Macaca fascicularis: one gene and its partners. The protein of the gene in region 1 interacts with the protein of each later gene in a biochemical or structural test. Links are inferred from orthologs where the notes say so. Each region holds a gene or a part of one and is shown in the gene's direction. Other genes may lie near its edges. The genes, in order: NUP155, NUP98 and GLE1.

The links.
Region 2: the proteins of NUP155 (region 1) and NUP98 form a complex in vitro, tested with the Homo sapiens proteins (2 studies listed by BioGRID). The link is inferred for Macaca fascicularis from reciprocal best matches to the Homo sapiens genes NUP155 and NUP98.
Region 3: the proteins of NUP155 (region 1) and GLE1 form a complex in vitro, tested with the Homo sapiens proteins (2 studies listed by BioGRID). The link is inferred for Macaca fascicularis from reciprocal best matches to the Homo sapiens genes NUP155 and GLE1.

The regions. Positions count from the first base shown.
Region 1 is NC_088380.1:37,611,494-37,616,729, reverse strand, and holds the end of NUP155 (nuclear pore complex protein Nup155), read left to right. Parts: intron 1-1,313; coding exon 1,314-1,450; intron 1,451-2,457; coding exon 2,458-2,564; intron 2,565-3,134; coding exon 3,135-3,273; 3' UTR 3,274-3,335; downstream 3,336-5,236.
Region 2 is NC_088388.1:70,595,246-70,600,336, forward strand, and holds the end of NUP98 (nuclear pore complex protein Nup98-Nup96), read left to right. Parts: intron 1-1,884; coding exon 1,885-1,996; intron 1,997-2,123; coding exon 2,124-2,341; 3' UTR 2,342-3,487; downstream 3,488-5,091. UniProt on the Homo sapiens protein: Plays a role in the nuclear pore complex (NPC) assembly and/or maintenance. NUP98 and NUP96 are involved in the bidirectional transport across the NPC. May anchor NUP153 and TPR to the NPC.
Region 3 is NC_088389.1:15,463,385-15,469,160, reverse strand, and holds the start of GLE1 (mRNA export factor GLE1), read left to right. Parts: upstream 1-2,349; 5' UTR 2,350-2,424; coding exon 2,425-2,523; intron 2,524-3,147; exon of another isoform or gene 3,148-3,390; intron 3,391-5,776. UniProt on the Homo sapiens protein: Required for the export of mRNAs containing poly(A) tails from the nucleus into the cytoplasm. May be involved in the terminal step of the mRNA transport through the nuclear pore complex (NPC).

The DNA.
Region 1 (5,236 bases):
TAATTCAGAAGTAATCATGTGGGCTTTGCATGGTGGCTCACACCTGTAATCTCAACACTTTGGAGAGGCAAAGGCAGGATGATTGCTTGAAGCCAGGAGTTTGAGACCAGCCTGGGCATACCAAGACCCCGTCTCTACAGAAAAAATTAAGATTAGCTAGGCATGGTAACACGTGCCTATAGTCCTAGCTAATCAGGCTGAGGCAGGAGGATTTCTATGTTTATTTATATATATTTATATATATATATATATATATATATATATATTTCTTTTGATAGAGAGGGGATCTCATGATATTGCCCAAGTCAGTCTTGAATTAGCCACGCCTAGCTAATTTTTTTGTATTTTTAATAGAGACAGAGTTTCACCATGTTGGCCAGGCTGGTACTCCTGACTGAAGGTGATCTGCCCACCTTGACCTCCCAAAGTTCTGGGATTACAAGCGTGAACCACCACGCCTGGCCATAAGTATAAATTTGGTTGTTACTGTTTATGATAAGACAGGCAGTTAAAAGTAAGAATGAGGCCACAGTTAGAACTATCAAATAAATCTAGGGGTGGGGCATTAAAAAACACATTTAATATTTCTGAAATCAGGATGCAGTTTCCCTTTTCTGAAAAGCTGTTAAATTGAGGAAACATATTTTTTCTTTTTTTTTTTTTATTATACTTTAAGTTCTAGGGTACATGTGCATAACGTGCAGGTTTGTTACTTATGTATACTTGTGCGAGGAAACATATTTTTTAAAAGTACTGATACTAAAAAAAAATTATCAGCGAAGTCCTCTTCATTATTGGGATTGTGAATGGTCTCTGTTTTCTTCTTGTATCTTTCTGAATTTTCTAAGTTCTGTAATTTTAATTTTAGGACATTTTCATCATCCCAAAAATAAACTCTGTACTCATTAGTTGTCACTTCCCATTCCTTCACACCCTCCAGCCCTAGGCAGCCACTAATCTACTTTAGATTTGCCTATTCTGGTATATATCTTACTTTTATTAAAAAAAAATTTTTTTTCCTTTTAAGCTGAGAGTGATGGTGCATACTTGTAGTCCCAGCTTACTTGGGAAGGTGAGGTGGGAGGATTGAGCTCAGGAGTTCAAGGTCAAGGCTATCATACACTGTAGTTGCTCCTATGAATAGCCACTATTTCTAGTCTGGGCAACATAGCAAAAAAAAAACCCCGCCCCAAAAAATTGCAATTGGATTTCAGAAGATATCCCCCTAGAAACTACTCAGTTATGAATAAGACCTACCTTTTAGTATCAAGAGCTAAAAATCCAAATTTCCAACCTTTTTTTTTTCTTCCCAGATTTTATTGTACAGTTTTTAGAACAGCAGGTTTGTTCTTTGAACTGGGATGTGGGCTTCGTAATACAGACAATGAATGAAATTGGAGTACCATTACCTAGACTACTAGAAGTTTATGATCAGTTGTTCAAATCACGGGTAAGGAAAATATTAAATAACATAAAATTATTTTCTTTAAAGTAACTTTGTAGATATAGAGTGGGGTATTTTGATTGTATTTTTGTATCTCATCACTTAGTCTAATTACACTTGGTTGAGTCTTGGAAATTATGCTTTAGACTTTTTAAACTGATAATGAGAGTTGCTTTCCTGTATATCATGATTAAAATGAAATATTATTTCTGAATATTAATAAACATATATGCTTTACTCTTGGTGGAAGAGGCTAAACTAAGGTGTGGGCTAAACTCATTACATTAAGAATCATCATTTGCTTTAAAAGAACAAGATTACATTGTATTTATTTACTATAACCTCATCTAAAATGTCAAAAAGATCCTTCTCACCCTGCTGAGCCTTATCAGACTATATGTTTTGTAATTTTTATGCTAAGGATAAAAGATCCAAATAAAAACTTTTCAAAGTAGATTGTGTCTTTTATAGTAGCATCATACAGTGTTTACAACATTAGCCTGTGATGGAGATGAGCAGGTAACTGTAGTATCTCCATCTTATATTGCAAAAAGACAAGAGCAGAGATGTTAAATAACCTGCTCAAGTCACATAGCTAGTAACTGGTGAAGCCAGACCTAGAATTAAGTTTCTGTTACTGCTAGTTTAGTCTCTTTATTATGTCAGACTAAATCTGCATAGGTTCAAAGTGAAAGTGGTGTCACAACCCATAGAAAGAAAGATTTTTCTCTTACCTCAGATTCCTAAGCAGGACATTTACATGCTGTGCAAAGTAGATTGGTATATCAAATATTCGTCCTAAGTAATATCATAGTGTTGTTAATTAATAAGTTTTTAATGTTGTTTGAAATATTAACTATAATCAGATATATAATTTAGTAGCCATGTAATATTAAATGCTTTTTAATAGCAATAAGTTTTGCATGGACCCTGATGTCTACTTTAGTATAAATGATTTAAAGAATCAATTGACACAACTTGCCTCACATTTCATTACGTATATTTCTTCATAGGATCCATTCTGGAATAGAATGAAGAAGCCACTGCACCTTTTGGATTGTATACATGTATTATTGACAAGATATGTTGAGAATCCCAGCCAAGTTTTAAATTGTGAAAGGTACCTATGAATTAAATATTGGACTAGCAAAAGCTTTTAAATGCTTCTAATAAATACCTGGGTAAGAAATTTGAAGAGAAGATGGTAAGATATGGGAATTGTAAAGAAGTACAGGGAATTTAAACTCTTGTGTATATTAGCAATAACTGTTTGAATGATATTGATCACCATGTATGAAAAATAGGAGTTTTTTCCATTTTCAGTCCTTGTCCTAAATTCTTTCTACAGCTGAACATAAATAATTTATTCGTTTCTTCTGCTTTAGATTAGTGACCTAGGACCAAAACATTTCAATTATGTCTTTGCGATATTATTGGCCTTTTAAGGGATATTCTTTTGAAAAAGTATTAGCAGGAATCATCTCTTACTGCTTTCTTCTCATTGTAAAAATCTTCAAATGGAACCCACCTACCCACTAAGTTTTCTTTTTTACTTTATTTCTTATTCACTTAATCACATGGTCTTTCCTCTTCTGTGAGAATTAAAGTTGCCAGAAGTTGGTGGGGAAGGAGTCCTTTAGGAGGAAATATTTGTAAATGTATAATTAATCATGTGTCTTTTTCTTTATAGGAGAAGATTTACAAATCTCTGCCTGGATGCTGTTTGTGGTTACCTTGTTGAGCTCCAGTCTATGAGCTCGTCAGTAGCAGTACAAGCCATCACTGGGAATTTTAAATCTCTTCAGGCTAAATTAGAACGGCTTCATTAATTACTGTGATATACTTTCATCCATTTTGTGATCTGTAAAATAAAAACTCAGCTGGGTCCAGATATCAGGTGTTCTAAATCTAAATGTAAGAACAATCTTAATGGAAGTATGTTTTTAATAAGTGGCTAACATCTACAAATAGTACCTTTTCTAAATGAATTCTTTTTTATTACTCTTTTGTTTTTTAGTAATTGAGTGAAAAAACAACCGAAATGAGATTATTTACTATTTTAACGTAAGGATTAAAAAAATTTAGACGCTGTTATTTTGAATTGTACTGCGGGCAGAAATTTCGAATTTATATTATTCATTTTCAAGTTAGTCCAAGGATATTGGCATTAAAACTCCACTAGGCGGCTGGGCACGGTGACTTACGCCTGTAATCCCAGCACTTTGGGAGGCCAAGGTGGGTGAATCACAAGGTCAAGAGTTTGAGACCAGCCTGGCCAACATGGTGAAAGCCCATCTCTACTAAAAATGCAAAAAAATTAGCCAGGCGTGGTGGCAGGTGCCTGTAATCCCAGCTACTCGGGAGGCTGAGGCAGGCGAATCACTTGAACCCAGGAGGCGGAGGTTGCACTGAGCCGAAATCTTGCCATTGCACTCCAGCCCAGGCAACAGTGCGAGACTGTCTCAAAAAATAAAAAACCTCCAAAGAGGCTAAGCAGATCCATTGCCATAATAGTGGATTCTAAAACTGTCCTTAAATAGGCAAATAACTGACTTTTTCAAAACTTTTTTTAGGTGTTGGGTTCACCCTTGAAAGAACTGTCCTCCAACAACTAGTTTTGTCAGTTAAAGCCCTTGAGGATTGATATATATACCTGGTTGGTTGAGCAGGTGATAAAACTTGTAACTAATGTTGTGTCGTGAAAAGCTACACAGGGAGGTACTATTTTCCCTTAGTGTCTACTTGGCTCCTTGGCCTTGTGACTACTGATTCCATTAGAGTAGTGGTTCTCAAAGTATGTGCTCCAAACCAGAAGCATCAGCATCACTTAGGAATTTGTTAGAAATGCAGATTCTCGAGCCCCAACCCAGACCTACTGAATCAAAAACGTGGGGGATGAGGCTGCGCTTTCTGTGTTTTAACAAGTTCTCCAGGAGATTTTGGTGCATGTCAAATTTGAAAGCCACTGCAGTAAAGGATACTGCTGCCTTCTATAGTTTATGGATTGAACTCCCTACGTGGCTCCTCCTTCCCCATTCTCTGTGAATAACCACACACACGAGTTTTGCCCAAGGCACACTGTATATAGCAAAACTGTTAGTATTGTACTTTTAAATTATTCTTTAACAAAATAGAGTAACCAAACCAAGTGCTTCAAAGTAATAGCAACAAGAGAGAAGAGTGGGAATAACCAGAGCTAACAAAACACTCTATTCTTTTTTTTTTTTTTTTTTTTTTTTTTTGGAGATAGAATCTCACCCTGTAGCCCACCCTGGAGTGCAGTGGTGCAATCCTGGCTCACTGCAGCCTCTGCCTCCCAGGTTCAAAGCAATTCGCCTGCCTCAGCCTCCCGAGTAGCTGGGATTGCAGGCATGCACCACCACACCCAGCTAGTTTTTGTATTCTTAGTAGAGATGGGTTTCACCATGTTGGCCAGGCTGGTCTTGAACTCCTGATCTCAAGTGATCCGCCCACCTCAACCTCCCAAAGTGTTGGGATTACAGGCATAAGCCACCGTGCCTGGCCTATTCCCTTCTTGTTTTATGCTACCACAAATAATTACCTTCTGTTTATTGTAAGCGGTACATGTCTAACAATTTTTAGGATACATTTTGAATGTATTTTTCCTTCCATTTTTGTCTTTTCCCAAGACCATAGGGTTGCCTTCTCTACATTTGTTCTCTTAGAATTCAGCTCCCTTTTCCCTATAATCTTCTAGTGTAGAATATTTAATAGAATGCCAGAATATCACTCAGTACTACTACCTCTTTTTTTTTTTTGAGACGGAGTCTC
Region 2 (5,091 bases), on another chromosome or scaffold:
CGGCCTCCCAAAGTGCTGGGATTACAGGCTTGAGCCACCGCGCCCGGCTGAGGCAGAGTTTTGCTCTGTCACCCAGGCTGGAGGGCAGTGGCACAATCTCAGCTCACTGCATCGTCCATCTCCCAGCTTCAAACAATTCTGCCTCAGCCTCCCCAGTAGCTGGGATTACAGGCTACAGGCGTGTGCCACCATGCCCAGCCTTTTTTTTTTTTTTTTTTTTAGTAGAGACAGGGTTTCACCATGTTGGCCAGTCTGGTCTCAAACTCCTGACCTTAGCCTCTACTAAATGCTTAATAATTGTTACCTATTATTATCCTCATCAAAGTTCCAACTCCTAGTACAGCGCCTGACACATAATAGGCATAATTCAATGTTTGCTGTACTTTTCATATGAATCAAGAGCATCATTTCTAAATAATCACTTGAAGAAACCACTTTCTCATTGAATATTGAGTAATTCACACAACTATTATGGAGAACTCACTGTGTGCCAAGCACTGTAGTGGGTTTGGGGAATATAAAAGTAAACAGTATGTGTTCTGCCCTTACCAAAATAATGATTTCGTGGGGGAGATATATACAAGTAAAGCAGCAGTTACTGTAGCTTCATAAGTATAGGGGTTAAGCAAAGAGAACTATCAATGTGCCAGCACATAGCTGGATGTGGTGGTGCGTGACTGTAATCCTAGCACTTTGGGAGGCTGAGGCAGGAGGGTTGCTTGAGACCAGCCTGAGCAACATAGCGAGACCCCCCCTTTAAAAAAAAAAAAGCCTGTGTTACATAAAACCTCTCTAGTATTGGTTTGTTCTGCTTTTCCCCCTTACCCCACATGTCACCATGTAAATCTCCTTTGAATTCTCACCTTTGGGAGTTTTAGCTGTCTTCTCTTTGCCTGGAAAGCTGAGCTCTCTCCTTGTAATTCAGGTCTCGACTTAAATATGACCTCCTTGAAGAAGCCTCTCTTGGACCTCCAGTCTCAAGTAGCTATCCAGTTTCTCTCTGCAACATCCACCTGTTTAAATTATCTACATGGCTTGTGATTTTTCAGGATGTATTACTGTTTTATGTTTTCTTATTTAGTTTCTGTCAGTTTCATGAGAGCAAATAATTTGTCTTGCTCTTGATCCTCCTGCTGCCTGCACCCAGCTTTTTTGGTGTTTTAGAAAAGGCTAGGCCAGGCGCGGTGGCTCAAGCCTGTAATCCCAGCACTTTGGGAGGCCGAGACGGGCGGATCACGAGGTCAGGAGATCGAGACCATCCTGGCTAACACAGTGAAACCCCGTCTCTACTAAAAATACAAAAACTTAGCCGGGCGAGGTGGCAGGCGCCTGTAGTCCCAGCTACTTGGGAGGCTGAGGCAGGAGAATGGCGTGAACCCGGGAGGCAGAGCTTGCAGTGAGCTGAGATCCCGCCACTGCACTCCAGCCTGGGTGACAGAGCGAGACTCCGTCTCAAAAAAAAAAAAAAAAAAAGAAAAGGCTATAAACTTGGAGTCAGGGGACCTAAATTAAATGTTGGTTCAGGCTGCATTTTTTACTTCCTGTGTGCTCTTAAGAAGTCATACCATCTCTCTGAACCCAGTTTATCTTGATTTTTGGTGCTGTATTATTAAAGCTTGCTGTATTATTAAAGCTTGCTGTATCGTTCGGGATCTCAAGACTTTCCTAGTCCAAGGCTGTGTACACTATGTTACCTTCCTCTTTATTACTGCATAATTAGTGCCTTGTCCTCCACTAGATGGTGGTGGCTTGACCCTGTGTCATCTTCTTGGATTTTCCCCTCCCTCACCTCACTGTTGTTTCAAGGTTTTGTATAGAGTCTATAGGTGGTGTTGAGTGATAGGAACTCCCCTTGGATTAATTGACTTCTCTGCTTCTTTGTAGGTGGATTGCTCAGGTTATGACCTGGAGCAGTTACACATCAAAGTGACTTCACTGTGCAGTCGCATAGAGCAGATTCAGTGTTACAATGCTAAAGATCGCCTAGCTCAGTCAGGTAAGCCTCTAATCTCCTCACTTTTTCTGCCTTCTTGCTTCCTGTTTTTATCTTACACCCCACCCTCAGTGCCTGCCACCGTTCTCTAGACCCATGCTCAGTGCTTAACTCTAGTTTTTCTCTCTAGACATGGCCAAACGTGTAGCCAACCTGCTGCGGGTGGTGCTGAGTCTGCATCATGCTCCTGATAGAACCTCCGACTCAACACCAGACCCTCAGCGAGTCCCTTTGCGCCTCTTGGCTCCCCACATTGGCCGGCTCCCCATGCCTGAGGACTATGCCATGGACGAACTGCGCAGCCTTACCCAGTCCTATCTGCGAGAACTCGCTGTTGGGAGCCTGTGAGCCCCAGACTCTTTGCATCACACTCACATGCCCGTTCACACTCACCACACAGAGGTTCCCTGCCTTGTTTGGATTGGCACTGTTTGCCATTCTCTGGGTTGGCTATGGCATCTGCCCTCCTTCCCTGCTGCCACAAGCAGCATCCTCCAGTTGTTCAGGGCTTTTCTTAATACTAAACATAGCATAAGGGCTTCTGGAACCCAGAAGAGGAGACAATTCTCTTTTTACCATCCTCAAGACCAGTGTTTTTCCTTTTAATAAATGGTCAATAAAGCTCCTTTGGCAGAATCCCCCAAAGAACCAGGGAATCCTTTTTCACCCCTAGCCATTCTGGATCTTGTGACCCTCCATGCCAACCAGCTACCCTACTCCTACCCTGGCCCTTTTATGCTAGGACTCCTTAGGAGGAGTGAGACAGGTAGTAATGGATCCTTAACAGGTGAACTATCCACAGAAGGAAGAGGGATCCGTCTCTTAAGTAATTGGTTAGTTAACACTGAATTTTGGAGGCAGAGGAGGGTTGGCCTGAGTTAGGAAACAGAATGGGATCTTTCTGACACACTTAGGGCAGAAGTGAATGCCTGCCATGGAGGGATTGATCTTCAGAGCTTCTTTTGTTCCTGCCTTTAGTGTTCCATGAACACCATACCTTTGCTACTACTATGTGCAGGAGCCCTTGGTCATATGTGACATGTCTATGGGAAGCTCCCAGAATTTGGTTTGGTCCCTGGTTTTCAGTCATCTTGCTGAGAGTCTGTCTGGATTTGCCTGAAGAGTTTGGATTAAAAATGGCAGGTTGGGTAACCCTCCCTGTTCATCCCATGTTAGCTCTAAAGCATTTTCCACCCTCCATCATCCCTTCCAGAAGCAAACCATGACTGAGGCAGGCATGGAGTTGGGCGTTAGGGGCAGGCAGAGGGCCTTTGCTACACTGCTGACAGCTATAGGGAGCCCCAGGTAATGGCATGAGATAGCTGGTGTTAGGGCTGTCTCAGGCAATATGGCCACACCTGGGTCTTTATGCATGAAGATTATGTAAAGGTTTTTATTAAAAAATATATATATGTATAAATAAATGATCTAGATATTTTCCTCTTTTTCTGAAGTTACTTTCTTAAAAAATAAATAAATAAAATGTTTATAGCATTCCTGGTATTGGCTTTCCCTTTGTATTTTTGAGCCTTCTTGCCCTGAGGATCTTTATGATGGCCTTGTTTGATTTAGCCTGTTTTTGAATTTGCCTTCTAAATGGAGACAGGCCTTGGGTTAAAGAGAGAACTATTTGGTGCTAAACTGAGAGATAGATTAGCCCAAAGGCTAGATTTATAAGGGGAGATTTAGGGGCAAGGGAGTTGATTATTGATTAATACTGATTGCTGTACATATATTTATACATATAGATTTCCAGGTCTCAAATTGCCCAATAGAATATACCATTCAAAGCCTCCTCGCTCTTCTACTGTAGTGGTTTTGTTTTTAAACCTTGAGTGACGCTTCACCTTTCTAAGTCGGATTCCCTTTTGTAAAGGGGATAATGATCCCTGATGTTACTTCACACAGGGCTGTTTTCAAGAGGAATCAATTGAGTAGCATGAGTACTATTCCAGATCTTATTTTGATTTGTCAAGCTGAAGATATGAGCAAATACCCATTAAGATTAGAACAAAGACTTCTGAGACTTTGAGGAATTCAGGGATGAGAAAGCATAGTGGGTCAGCTCTGTGGCTGAAACTTCCATTTAACTTAGACACCTCAGAAGAAGGGTTACTCAGCTGGAATCCCCTCCACTACTGACTCAATATGTGATCCTGAGTGGGTCACAGAACTTAGTTGGACTTTCCGACCTGGTTTCCTTACCAGAGGAATGTTTCAAAAAGTGATTATGCTGTAGAAATGGTTAGCTCTTAGCAGTGTTAGGAATTGTGGGCCAGGAGTGTTCGCTGACACCTGTAATCCACTTTGGGAGACCAAGGTGGGAGGATTGCTTGAGGCCAGGAGTTCAAGACCACACCAGGTAACATGACAAGACTCTCTCTAAAATAGTTGGGCATGGTGGTGTGTGTGCATAGTCCCAGCTACTCAAGAGGCTATGGCAAGAGGATCGCATGAGCCCAGGAGTTGAAGGCTGCAGCGAGCCATGATTGTGCCACTGCACTCCAGCCTGGGCAACAGAGCAAGAAAAAAAGGTTCTAAATCAAAGGTTTATCATAGAAGCCATGTTGCATAAAAGAGAATATCAACTTCCAGTTCAAGATAAGGGTGATGAACAATGAACAATCTCCTTTTTTTTTTTTTTTTTTGAGACGGAGTCTCGATCTGTCCTCCAGGCTGGAGTGCAGTGTCGCAATCTTGGCTCACTGCAAGCTCCACCTCCCGGGTTCACGCCATTCTCCTGCCTCAGCCTCCCGAGTAGCGAGGACCACAGGTGCCCGCCACCACGCCCGGCTAATTTTTTTTTTTTTTTTTTTTTTTTGTATTTTTAGTAGAGACGGGGTTTCTCTATGTTAGCCAGGATGATCTCGATCTCCTGACCTCGTGATCCGTCCACCTCGGCCTCCCAAAGTGCTGGGATTACAGACGTGAGCCACTGCACCCGGCCTGAACAATCTTAATCTTTTTTTTTTTTTTTTTTTTTTTTTTTTTTTTGAGACGGAGTCTCGCTCTGTCGCCCAGGCTGGAGTGCAGTGGCTGGATCTCAGCTCACTGCAAGCTCCGCCTCCCGGGTTCACGCCATTCTCCTGCCTCAGCCT
Region 3 (5,776 bases), on another chromosome or scaffold:
ATCATGGCTCACTACAGCCTCAACCTCCTGAGTTTAAGGGATCCTCCTGCCTCAGCCTTCTGAGTAGCTGGGACCACAGGTGCACACCACCATGCCTGGCTAATTTTTGATTTTTTTTTGGTAGAGGCAGGTCTCATCATGTTGCCCAGGTTGGTCTCAGACTCCTGGGCTCAAGTAATCCTACCTTGGCCTCCCAAACTGCTGGGATTATGAGCATCAGCCACTATACCTGGCCTAGAGTTCACCCTTTTAAAGTGTATATATAGGCTAAGCATGGTCACTCACACCTGTAATCCCAGCACTTTGGGAGGCCGAGGTGGGTGGATCACCTGAGGTCAGGAGTTTGAGACCAGCCTGGCCAACATGGTGAAACCCTGTCTCTACTAAAAATACAAAAACTAGCCGGGAGTGGTGGTGGACGCCTGTAGTCCCAGCTACTTGAGAGGCTGAAGCAGGAGAATCACTTGAACCCAGGAAGTGGAGGTTGCAGTGATCCAAGATCATGCCACTGCACTCTTGCCTGGGCAACGTGGCGAGATTCTGTCTCGAAAAGATAAAGTGTATATATAATTCAGTGGTTTGTGGTATATTCACCAAGTTGTGCAGCCATCACCATTATCTAATTCTAGACCTAGTTTTTTCTTTTTTCGAAATGGAGTCTCACTCCGTCACCCAGGCTGCAGTGCAGTGGCACCATCTCGGCTCACTGCAGCCTCTGCCTCCCAGGTTCAAGGGATCCTCCTGCATCAGCCTCTGGGACTATAGGTGCATGGCACTGTGCCCGGCTAATTTTTGTATTTTTTGTAGAGACAGGGTTTTGCCATGTTGCCCAGGCTCGTCTCAAACTCATGACCTCAGGTGATCCGCCTGCCTGGGCCTTCCAAAGTGCTGGGATTACAGTTGTGAGCCACCGCGCCCAGCCAACCAATTTCATCACTCCCAAAAAGAAACCCCATACCCATTAGCAGTCAGTCCCCATTCCCCTCCCGCAGCCCCTGGCAACTAGTCATAAAGCTTCTCTGGCTCTATAGATTTGTCTCTTCTGGACATTTCACATAAATGGAATTGTCTAACGTGACCATTCATGACTGGCTCATCTCAGCATAATGCTTTCAAGATTGATGTTTCAGTGTACCATCAGTACTTTATTTTTATGGCCAAATAACATTCCATTATGTAGATAGTGTTTCCTCCTGCCAAACAGGGCTGGTTGGGACTCCAAAGAAGCACTATGGCCTGGCGCAGTGGCTCATGCCTGTAATCCCGGTGCTTTGGGAGGTCGAGGTGGGTGGATCAGCTGAGGTCAGGAGTTTGACACCAGCCTGACCAACGTGGTGAAACCCCATCTCTGCTAAAAATACAAAAATTAGCTGGGCGTGGTGGCAGGCGCCTGTAGTCCCAGCTACACGGGAAGCTGAGGCAGGAGAATCGCTTGAACCCAGGAGGCGAAGCTTGCAGTGAGCCGAGATGGAGCCACTACTCCAGCCTGGGGGACAAAGCAAGACTCTGTCTCAAAAAAGGAGCACTAAACCCAAAACATTTATTAGGGAAACTTACAGAGTGGGCTGCAGCAATTCTTGCGACGGATAGCGAGAGAGAAGAGGTGTTTCACCTCGGTACATCCCCAGCGAGGGGTCAGGGTGTGGAGTTTATATGAGGGTTTATGGAATTTGGCTAAAGGCGGGTCAGTTTCAGCGTTTTGGGCAACAACTTAGATATCCTTATTAGTGCCTGGGGATATGCAAGGCCCGTATTTGGTTGCAAGTCTGCAGGAAAAAACTTGCAACTGGCTGGGTCACAGGGCGATCAAGGCACTCTGATACTTGGTCAGTGCACAGAAAGCGGGGAACTCGGGAACTGCACACATAGTACTGTATTTTATTTATCCATTCACCAATGGATGGACATTTGGGTTGCTTTCACTTTTTGGCTATTATGAATAACACTGCTTGTGAACATTCATGGACAAGTTTTTGTATATGCATAGGTTTCATTTCTTTGGTGTATTTTTTTATACATATATTTACCTAGGAGAATTGCTGGGTCAAATGGTAATTGTTTAACCTTTTGAGGAACTGCCAGACTGTCTTCCACAGCAGGTGCTTCATTTTACATTCCCATGACCAGTGTAAGAGGATTCCAGTTTCTGCACATTCTCAAGGCACATACCAATTTTCTGCAGCCCCGGGGATTGGGAGCTGGTGCTTACCTCCGCAGAACTTGCAGTCACAGGCAATTCCTGCGCGCAGGCGCACTGGCGGGAGGGCGGGAGCGTTGCCGGAGGCGGGGCACGCAGCCGTTAGGGGCGGGGCTGTGTTGCACTTGCGCCCCGGAAGCGGAAGCCTGAGCGGCCTTCCCGGCGGCTGATTCGAGGGCTTGTTTGGTCAGAAGCGGCGCCTCAGAGAAGCTGCCCCGGATCCTACCATGCCGTCTGAGGGTCGCTGCTGGGAGACCTTGCAGGCTCTACGCAGTTCCGACAAAGGTCGCCTTTGCTACTACCGCGACTGGCTGCTGCGGGGCGAGGTGAGCGGTGGCCTCGGAGGACGTAGGCCCTTCCGGCCGCTCGCGACCGAACCCTTCTCCTCCCTAGCCCTTGGCATGTTCTGCTTCCGGGAACCCGTGCAGCCTAACAACCTGCATTTATTTCTTGACTTCTGTGTGTACATCCTTCTGTCCTGGGGTTTCTGTCCTCTCCAGCCTATTTTAGCGTTTCGGGGAGCTCCCCTGACTTCACAGGTGCCCCGCGCTCTGAAGGCTTCATTGCTACCCTCCGCCAGTTGGGCGCCTTCTCCGCTCTGCTGTTGTCAAAGCAATCTTGGCCCAGGCTCAGTTAACTTACTGCGTGTCTCATGTGCTGGGAGCTCTAGATTTTGCGACGAACGATTGACACGACCTAATCCGTTGCTGCCAGTGAAATAACCAAATTTCTAGATTGATTTGGCAGACCTGGAAAGTGAATGGGGGCGTGGTCACTGTACCTAGTATTTGCAAAGCTCTACACTAGAAGTGGAGGGATGCGGAGAGTTAAGGCAGAGCTCCCATTCCCGAGTCGCTGCTAGTTAGCTACAGATAAGACGTTGTTCTGCATCCTCAGACTTCTTGGGAAACAATCCTAAAATATTCTCCTGTCTTTTATGTTGTTGACAGTTTTGAAAAATACAGATCTTACATTCTGTAGGTTGACTGCCAGCATAGGTGCTTTCAAACCACCAGACCAAGGTTAAGCAGTCTTGGCAGGAATACTACAGAAATGATGCCATGGCTTTCTCAGGAGGCACACAGATGTCAACCCATCCCAACACTGGTGATGCTAATCTTGATCACCTGGTTACGTTGTTATCTGCCTGGTCTTTCCGTTTAAATTCGTCATTTTTCCCTTAGTAATTGTTGGTAAGTATTGTGGAGATTACACCAGTATCATTTTTCTGGGCAAACCTTCATCCTCCATGGCTTTAGCATTCATTGATGTTTTCCACATGAATCGATCACCTCTATGACGTTGCCAGATCCTGTTTCTTTATATCCACTACTCCTTCTGCATTTGTTAGTTGGCGTTCCACCGTCAGGAGATGCTTTCTTTTCTCTGTTGTTTAGTTATATTGGTATGGACTCATGGATTTCTGTTTTATTCAGTGAGTTGTAATCCATTACTTTTATTATTTATTTTATTTTAAATATCCCAGATTTTGTAAGCTTGTATCAAAATATCACAGGCAAGGCTGGGCGTGGTGGCTCAGGCCCGTAATCCTAGCACTTTGGGAGGCCGAGGGGGATGGATCACTTGAGGTCAAGAGTTCGAGACCAGCCTAGCCAACATGGTGAAACCCCATCTCTACTGAAAATAAAAAAATTAGCCGAGCATGGTGGTGCATGCCTGTAATCCCAGCTACTCCAGAGACTGAGGCATGAGAATTGCTTGAACCCGGGAGGCAGAGATTGCAGTGAGCCGAGATTGTGCTGCTGCACTCAAGCCTGGGCAACAGAGTGAGACTGTGTCTCAAAAAAAAAAAGTAACGTTGTAAATATGTACAACGATTATGTATTCATAAGAATTAAAAAGAAAAATGTCCCAGATTTGGCTACTGGGCGACTCATTAAGTTGGCTCCTGTGTTCCTTTGACATGTTTCCATCTTTCATTGACATTTCTTTACTTTTTGGCACAAAAAGGTGTCCCAGGTGCAAGTTTCCCTGTCTCAACCCTGGAATCAGCTATTTCTCCAAAGAGGCTGATTCTTTTGAAGTGGAGGGTGGTGCTGTATTTACAGACCAAGTTCTGGGAGTTTAGTATGTTGAGATTCTTGATTGGGTACCATTGCTTCTAGGCCTTCTCAGTAGATAGAGCTAGGAAATAATACATCTCTAAATATGTACACATATCACCACATACACATTTATGTATTATCTATAACTATTTGTGTGTACATATATATTATAAAACCATGACTTCATACTGATAAATGCCATTTCCAACCCAGCACTTCACATTTCTTTCTATCTAATCTTACCCCATCCATCTTTGTAAATATGTTACCTAGCAGTGAGAAGTTTGGCTTCTGTTATTCTCAATATGTTTACTTATTTGCTCAATCAGTTTACTTTAGCTCGTTGTAGCAATCTCCCAACTACTCTGGTTTTTTCATTTATTTATTATATCATACGTAATCAGTACTTATTTTCTCATACAAAGATGTTCCAGGCTCATCTTATATTTTTCTACCTCCAACTCTGGAACTTACCTTTTCTGCAGAGACCCCTGGTTTCCTTTGATTTAAAATTATATTTACAAACCAAGATCTGGTACTAGATATGATCATTATTACTACTAAGGATGTATACACACATATCCATATCTATTTCCATTTTTAAAAAAATTATTAGGCTGGGTGTGGTGACTCATGCCCATAATCCCAACACTTTGGGAGGCTGAGGCGGGACGATTACTTGAGGCCAGTTCAAGCTGGGCCAGGCTTGGTGTCTCAAACCTGCAGTCCCAGCACTTTGGTAAGCCAAGGTGGGCAGATCACTTGAGCCCAGAAGTTCGAGACCAGCCTGGGCAACGTGGAGAAACCTCACCACTACAAAAAATACAAAAAAATTAACCAGGTGTGCCGGGTGTGGTGGCTCATGCCTGTAATCCCAGCACTTTGGGAGGCCGAGGAGGGCGGATCACCTGAGGTCAGGAGTTGGAGACCAGCCTGACCAACATGGAGAAACCCCGTCTCTACTAAAAATACAAAGTTAGCTGGGCATGGTAGCGCATGCCTGTAATCCCAGCTACTTGGGAGGCTGAGATAGGAGAATCGCTTGAACCTGGGAGGCGGAGGTTGCGATGAGCCGAGATTGCACCGTTGCACTCCAGCCTGGGCAACAAGAGCGAAACTCCATCTCAAAAAAAAAAAAAAAACCAGGTGTGGTGGTGGGTGCCTATAGTCCCTGCTCCTTGAGAGGCTGAGGTGGGAGTATTACCTGAGCATGAAATTTGAGGCTGCATGATCTGTGATCGTGCCACTGCACTCCAGCCTGGGAAACAGAATGAGACCCTGTCTCAAAAAAAAAAAAAAAAAAAAAAGAAAAAAGAATGGCTGGGCGTGGTAGCTCACGCCTGTAATCCCAGCACTTTGGGAGGCTGAGGTGGGCGGATCACCTGAGGTCAGGAGTTCGAGACCAGCCTGGCCAATGTGATGAAACCCCGTCTCTAATTTTTGTAATAATACAAAAATTAGCTGGGTGTGGTGATGGGTGCTAGTAATCCCAACTGCTCGGGAGGCTGAAACA